2 linked regions of the Yarrowia lipolytica genome follow. The protein of the gene in region 2 binds, or shares a complex with, the protein of the main gene of each other region. Links are inferred from orthologs where the notes say so. Each region holds a gene or a part of one and is shown on either strand. Other genes may lie near its edges.

Region 1 (2,798 bases), on a different chromosome or scaffold from region 2:
GGAACAGATTCCTTCGGGCCAGGGAGCATGGGCTCCTGTACAGCTCTTGGACACTCCGAAATCCGACACATTCAGGGGGGCAATGTATCCGCCTCCATTCTTCTTGTTCGCCTGCGAATTGAGCTTTTTGACGTAGGCATGGTAGCTCATATGCTTAATCTTCTGCTCCTTGAGATACTCCTCGTCCCAGGGGTCGACTGGAAGAGTGTCTTCGCCCATACCTCTGGATCCAAACTTTCGCTGCTGGAGTGCTGATAGCTGTCGCTTGATCTTTCCATCTTGTTTCTCGAGATAGTCATCGACAGGCAATTGTTTGGTGGCGTCTCGAATGTGTGCCGCGGTCATTTGGGGAGCGGTTTCGGCCGTCACAGCCTCCACAGCAGCTCGTGGGGCCGAGTCTGTGTAGCTGACAAACAGCATATCACCATGATTAAGCCCCAGCTTCTGGACGGTTTTACCCAGAAGACGAGAGGCCGGTTCCTGCTTGCCTGTGGGTGACGTGGCAAGGGTGATTGTGGCGGGATCGATGTCTGGCAGGTCTTCAGTGAGCTTCTTGAACGCCACATCGAAGAGATCTGTGGGCTGGGCCTCCGCTCGAAGAGTGCCCTTTTTGGACCGGAATCGCAGGATCTGAGTTAGTCTGGGCACAATTCCACAGCTGTTTGTGTCTGCAGTACTCACCATTCTCGAAAGTAGTGGTTGATAGAGATGATGTTGAGATGGAGCTTCCTGTTGCCACTGGGACAAGCATATCCGAGTGAGGATTTAGAGTTTGTTAAAGATATTTGGCTCTACTTGGAGAATCAATAAAATAAAAAACAAAACAGTATATATAAAAAAAGTAGCTGGATGGCGACAGACAGTGTGACGTCTGTAGTATCGTACCAAGAGGTCAAGATATTGCCTCAATATGTATTACAGTGGTGAAGGAGAGTATTTCGGGTCTTTAAACATTCGGAAACGCCGTTTGAAGGTGTCCTAGTTTGGGGCTGATGATCATGTACAAGTTTCATACAGTATAATTAGCAGCCTAAATGATAATACTACTGTAAGCGCGGGCATAATGGCGGATGGCATGTGTACAGCCAATGAAAAGGATGCTTGAACGGTCGGTTCAGAAATTGGTGGCCACAAACACAAATTCGTGTACTCGTACTCATATTTGTAGCCACAACTAGACTCTAAACACTTCACTCGGCTTACCTAATACCATCCCACATTGGCATGTTCTAATTAAATCTCAAGTATCATTATGTAGCAAAGCCAAGTAACTACATAAACTCTAGAACCTCTTCGACTGTCGTCTAAAACTACCCCAAAATAGCCCAAATCTGGTTCTGGAAAAAAAGCAACGATATCCTCGGGACGCGTATACAACCATTAAAAAACAATTGCAACCAAAAAAACATCCACGTGACCACACTCTGTCGTCCTCTCCAGCCTCGTCTATGCAACGCGCGTAGCTGATTATACTACACCTTCTTTCTCCAGTGCAAATAGAGTTATTCATAGGTGGCCGAAGCGAAGAGAGTCTAACAAGAACGAGACACACGTAACGTTACCTCTGTTAACACCACACACACACACACACACACACAACAGACCGACAAAAGACCGACAATGGAAAGCAGCAGCGGCGTTTCCATCTACACGCCCTTCATCTACTTTGCCGTGCTTGTGACGGCGCTGGCCGTGTTTGGCAAGATCTACCGATCCCGGCAGGCGGTCAACCTGGCAGGAGTCGAACCGTGGTACCCCGATCACATTCCCCGAGACATCTACTTCACTCTGCGGGACCACACGTCGCCCCGTCCATCCGAAAAGGTGCTCAAGGCCGCTCTTCTACGACGGTCGGCGGAAAACATCAAGCGAATCATCAAAACCAAGGAGGCCAAGCCCCATCTGACTGCTCTTCACGAGGCGGGATCCATTGGAGATGATCTGCTGCATCAGTTCACCGCGTGGGAGAAGATGATCGAAATGGAGCTCAACGACTGTGCCGCTGAGGCCAACACATACGCCGAAAACTGGGCCCAAACCATGTTTGCTACTGCGTCGGAGATCATCCAGAACGAGGGTCTGCGAAGACGAGTCAACGAGCTCAACGAGAAGGAGAAGGCCTTTGATGCCGACCTGGTCCAGGCCAAGGTCATTGTCGCTTAGATCAATATAGAAATGGAGGTATGATATGGATCCAGTGAAGCGATAAAGTGGGTGTAGAAGAAGACTGGCACTAACTGCGAACCAATGTGATAGCAACGGGTCTTTGTAACGAATGTCAGACCCTACTACTTGTTAATGAAGCGATGATCATTTGTATTATCTTTAGACAGATTGCACATTGGGTTATGGCGATGGCTCGCAGGACAAGAAGTACTTAGACCCATCGAAGGGCCAGGAGTTTTCTCAGAAAGCGTCCGTGCTTTCCGTACGGTTTGTGTTGGTACTTGTAGTCTTTTGTATGAGCTATACGGTGTCTGTACCTCTCATCGTACAATAATTGCCCATTACTTATACATATATACATGTCCTCCGAGGAAGCCCTAAGGAGCCCTAAAGAGCCCTAAGGAGCCCGCTTCTTCTTGCCAACCACCTTGAAGGCGGTGTTCCATCCATCATCCTGAGGAGCAACCTCGGCATGCTGAATCACCTCGCTCCATTTGACAGCAGAGTCACCATCAGCAATCTTTCTTCGCTTGAGGAACTCGGCAGCAAACCGTCGACCGTCCAGAGTCGACGAGTTGGCGTACACAATGTCGGCAATGATCTCGGTGGACTCCTCCTCTGCAGGCAGAGTC
Region 2 (4,315 bases):
GCTGACGAGTCGAGTGACTCAGGGACTTCATCACTCGCCCAGTGGCTGGTGATGGTGGTGGAGATAAGCAGGAGTCGGACTTGTAATCATACGACGCGTCGTTTTGACTTTTTTTTTTCCAACACGAAACGCGAAATACATTAATTTTTGTGGAGAAAAAGGAGACATGAGGAAGGCTTCGAGTTGTCCGTGAAGAAAGAAGAAATGGTGAGCGTATTCCGAGACACGCACTGAATCAACCAATCTCCTTGAAGTACAAATCAATGGAATACCGAGTCGTGTAGTAACTCCAAAGGCGGTTTGCTATTAGTAAGTACACTGTATGGATGTACTATAGAAGTATCTTTCCAGACCTCAGTTGCACCTAGTGGCACTCCGCATTACATGAGGCACTGCTATATCACATCACTTGATGTACTGGATCTACACCCTCTTCATCCACCCTCTTCCACCCTTCTCTACCTCTAAACATACATTGCACTATATTGCTTTTACCATCTTCTCCTCCTCTAATTACTTCTTCTTGGGATCCTCAGCCTCGTCCTCGGTGTCGGTGTCGATATCCGACAGATCCTCCTCCTCCTCGGAGTCCTCCTCATCGTCGTCCACTACGGCGGCCTTCTTGGTGCTCTGGCCCCGGGCAGAAGCCAGAGCGCCAGCAATGGAGTCCTCCTCAGGCTCGGAAATGTCGTCCTCGTCGTCGTCATCAGCGGGAATCTCCGGGTTCTTGACCTCCACGTTCAGCTTCTCCACAGCATCGACGCCAAAGTAAGCCGTGTTGAGCACGTTAACCTTGTACGAAAACTTGCCGGGGAACATGGGAGTGGGGTTCTTGAGCTGGATCTTGAAGGAGCCGATAACGCCATCCTCCACGTCCTTGCCAGGCTTGAGATTGCTCAGGTTGGATACGTCGAGCCGGGTGATCTCGCCGGGACCCTCGACAATCTTGTTGTCCTTGTCAGAGGTGATAAACACAACCCACTTGCCCTGATGGAGAGCAGGGAAGTAGGGTGCGTAGGTGTGAGGCAGCAGAGGAGCGTTGCTGTTGGTGATTGTGGGCTCCTTGAGCACCTCGATAGGCTCGTCGAGATGCAGATCATGCTTGAGCTTGGCGGTATCAATGTTGAGAGGTCGCTTGGTGCCAAATGGCCGCACCCGGATTCGTAGAACAAGATGGGCAGCAGACTGGGGGGTCACCACGTCTTCACCAGGCACCTTGAAGTAGGCATCCACAATATCAATCTTGGGCACAGCGTTGGCGGTGTTCTTGACCGATGTAATATCAGATTTGTCGACGCCCAGAATCTCCTTGAATTGGGCATCCTTGAAGCCCAGGATGGAGCCGGTACCGTAGCCCTTGGCATTCTTGGTCACCTGCTCGTAGTCCACGTGAGGGAGCTGCAGCATCTCTCCAAGAGGAAGATGGTCGAGAGAAACGGCCTGAACCATGGCTCGCTGAACCTCAATAATTCGCTGAACCACCTCCAGAGGCTTGAACTCGATGGCAATGTCGGCAAAGCCATCCAGCAGCTTGGGGGCCAAAGCAGCCACGCCCAGCATAGCGGCGGGCTTGGAAGAAGCCTTTCTGTGGAGGTAGTCGTCTAGAAGCTCGTAGACCTGCTTGCTGGTGAGCTCGGGGAAGTTGATTCGGTACTCCTCGGCCTCGGACACGGCCTCCAGGATTCGCTTGTGAGTGATGTAGTCTGGCTGCTCCTTGGCCATGATGGAGAAGAACCGGGCTGCGGTCTTGTTGTGGATTCCACGACGAGTGTAGGACTTGACTCCGGTCCACCACTTGCCAATGGTGTAGGGGAGGATGACTCCCACGACAATGGCGTAGACACCAATGAGCAAGGGAGAGCCCTGGCCCTCCACGAGCCACTTGGGCAGAGCAATACCGTGGTCGGTCTGCTGGGGGCCGTCAGGATGGCCAAACTCCAGAAAGTTGTTTCGGGTGACTTCGTCTGTCAGCGCCTTGTAGGCCTTTGTGATCTGGACCCACGCGTCCTCCACCTGCTCCATGGTCTGGTTAGCCACCAGCTTGATCTTGTCGGGATGCAGCTTGACCGACAGCTTTTTGTAGTGGCTCTTGATTTGCTTCTCTGTGGCCGAGAAGGACACGCCCAGAATCTCGTACGGATCAAACGTGTCGGCCTTGACCTTGACCTCCTGTTGTGAAATGAACACCAGCGCTCCAATCAGAGCCGCCCACCCCGCAACCAGAGCCACGTTGCGCTTGGACAGCAGCTTTCCGCGCCGTTGCTTGCTCTGGAACGAGTCAATGTCCGCCGCATGGGGGGGACGGAATGGTGTCACGCCCTCGGGAAGAGTCGCCTGGGTCTTGGGGGGACACAGAACCGGATAGACGGCACTGAGAGTCCAGGGGACTAGCACCAGTGAGCCCAACGTGACCGCAAAGTATGGCCACACGTCCGACTCTTCGTCATAAGAGTACGAAGGCATTTTTGAGTCTGTGTTGTGGAAAGAACCAAAGATGTGTGATGTACAGTCTGTAGATGACAACTGTGGTTGGGAGTGTGACGTGTAGTTAAAGTAAGGTTTGGCAAAGTAGATACAGTAGGTGGAGGAGGAGTAGAAATGGCGAACAGACTGGAGTAATTTTATGGGAATAGGCGGTGTTGTTGTTTTTTTGGTCATGTGTATTGTCACGTGACTTGATTTCACGTGACTGTTTGTTTCTGAGGCTCCCTCCTTCCCCCTTATACTGTGGTCAATCGCACACTACTTTTCAAGGGTAAGGGTTGCATTGTAGATCAAGAACAGGGTGGAATAAAAATATAAAATATAAAAAAGTGTGAATTTATATAGTTCAGTTTATTATTCATTGTAGCTCAGATGGACATGGAGCTGGGGACAGAAGGCGAAAACACGAGTTCCTGAGAATCAATTGTGACATGACCGGGTCTGGGAAGTCGTGTGACCAAATGTATAACACATTACGGCCGCACTTGTAGACCAGGTGCCCCACATCTCCACGCCGTTCCGTCCTCCTCGTCCTCCTCTTCTTCATCCTGCTTGCAATGGCGGCGCGCGCGTATGTATGTATGTACTGTACTGTACTGTACTGTACTTGTAGATGGGCAAGTTTTTGCTGTCTGAAGAAAAGACGAGAGCAGGACGAATTTGCGAGTCATGCAGCGGGGATGGAATACGACGAAACAGTCCTAACCTGTGTTTTTGACGTAGGAATCACATCTCATAAGGTGTTTTTCCAGCGTGATTGATTGACTTTTCCGAGGAGGTTTGAATTTGGATTAGTACGAGTATGTGAGTGTGTATAGGGAGAGTGATGGAGACCTGGAGAGCGAACTTTTCCAGGGTTATATGGTATCTTATTGTTTGAAATGGCCAACTTATTCTCCTTATGAGTTTTTTATTGGAACCGGATCAACTTTGACGGAGTTTGTCCAGTCTTGATAGTGGGTGTATAGTACAGTGTGAACCCTACAACTGTATGTAGGTTTGTACTGTATTTACATTTACTATGGTTGACGTATGGCTATATAATGAAGTCTTCGAGTTATACCACCCATTTGGTATTCTCTTCAATTAATTCAGAGCAGGACATTTATCAGCTCGTCGCGTTATCAGCCATATTTCAACTTGCATTCTTTTCTTTTTTCACGCTTTTTTCTCGCTTTTTTCTCGCTTTTTTCTCGCTTTTTTCTCTCTCGACTTTTTTGTTTTTCTTTTTATTTATTTTTATTTATTTTTCTTTTTCTGGTTAACCCTGACAATATTTCAACTACGAGTTTAAATCTAGTGGAGACTGAAACTGAAACTGATCTTTTACTTGGGGAAATGTTTGTTTTTGGGCGTGAAAATTGATACCCTTGATATTCAAGCGTCAAATAGCTGAATTATTATCCCTCTTTTGACTCTAGACACGTCCCACTGCTTCTACAAGGACATTTGGCGCAGGTCTCGATTCTCATGCACAAGCAAAAACTACACTTTTTTAAATTGGCGTGCATTTTCATTTTCGTTTCACCAGTACCACCACAAACAATGAGTTATCGAGGACGCGGACGAGGCCGAGGCGGCTACAACAATAGCGGCGGCCGCGACAACAACAACAACAGCAACAACAGCAATCTGACGGACATTGAGGTCCGAGGGTGGACGAACGCGCCTAAGGACGATCTTGTACGGTTTCTCCAGGACAAGGGCGGGTTCCGGTTGCAGAACCCGTACGTGGATGGCGACGTGATCAAGGCCCGAGTCAAAAACACGGACGCCCGTGCGATTGGACAATGGTCCGGGCGCCGGTTTGCAGGCCAGGCTCTGCAAATCA

Evidence for each region.
Region 1: the proteins of YALI1_A18273g (region 2) and YALI1_E16164g are in contact, whole or in part, in a cryo-EM structure (PDB 6N3Q), measured with the Saccharomyces cerevisiae proteins. The link is inferred for Yarrowia lipolytica from reciprocal best matches to the Saccharomyces cerevisiae genes SEC63 and SEC66. Residues at the interface, in NP_014897.1 of Saccharomyces cerevisiae: Gln247, Thr250, Lys251, Lys252, Asn256, Ala259, Ser260, Val263, Val267, Asn268, Tyr269, Lys270, Pro271, Ser272, Glu273, Ile274, Thr276, Ile339, Gly342, Phe343, Arg344, Leu365, Pro367, Thr528; in NP_009730.3 of Saccharomyces cerevisiae: Asn69, Lys109, Leu113, Gln116, Ile117, Leu120, Asn123, Gly124, Ser125, Ile126, Gly127, Glu128, Asp129, Tyr130, Arg133, Arg178, Arg179, Ser182, Arg186, Val189, Glu193, Trp194.

The regions. Positions count from the first base shown.
Region 1 is NC_090774.1:1,615,276-1,618,073, reverse strand, and holds YALI1_E16164g (uncharacterized protein), read left to right. Parts: upstream 1-1,620; coding exon 1,621-2,163; downstream 2,164-2,798. Other genes in the region: YALI1_E16174g (uncharacterized protein), read right to left, coding at 1-684; YALI1_E16121g (uncharacterized protein), read right to left, coding at 2,564-2,798. UniProt on the Saccharomyces cerevisiae protein: Acts as a component of the Sec62/63 complex which is involved in SRP-independent post-translational translocation across the endoplasmic reticulum (ER) and functions together with the Sec61 complex and KAR2 in a channel-forming translocon complex.
Region 2 is NC_090770.1:1,824,638-1,828,952, forward strand, and holds YALI1_A18273g (uncharacterized protein), read right to left. Parts: upstream 2,659-4,315; coding exon 514-2,658; downstream 1-513. Other genes in the region: YALI1_A18286g (uncharacterized protein), read left to right, coding at 3,955-4,315. UniProt on the Saccharomyces cerevisiae protein: Acts as a component of the Sec62/63 complex which is involved in SRP-independent post-translational translocation across the endoplasmic reticulum (ER) and functions together with the Sec61 complex and KAR2 in a channel-forming translocon complex.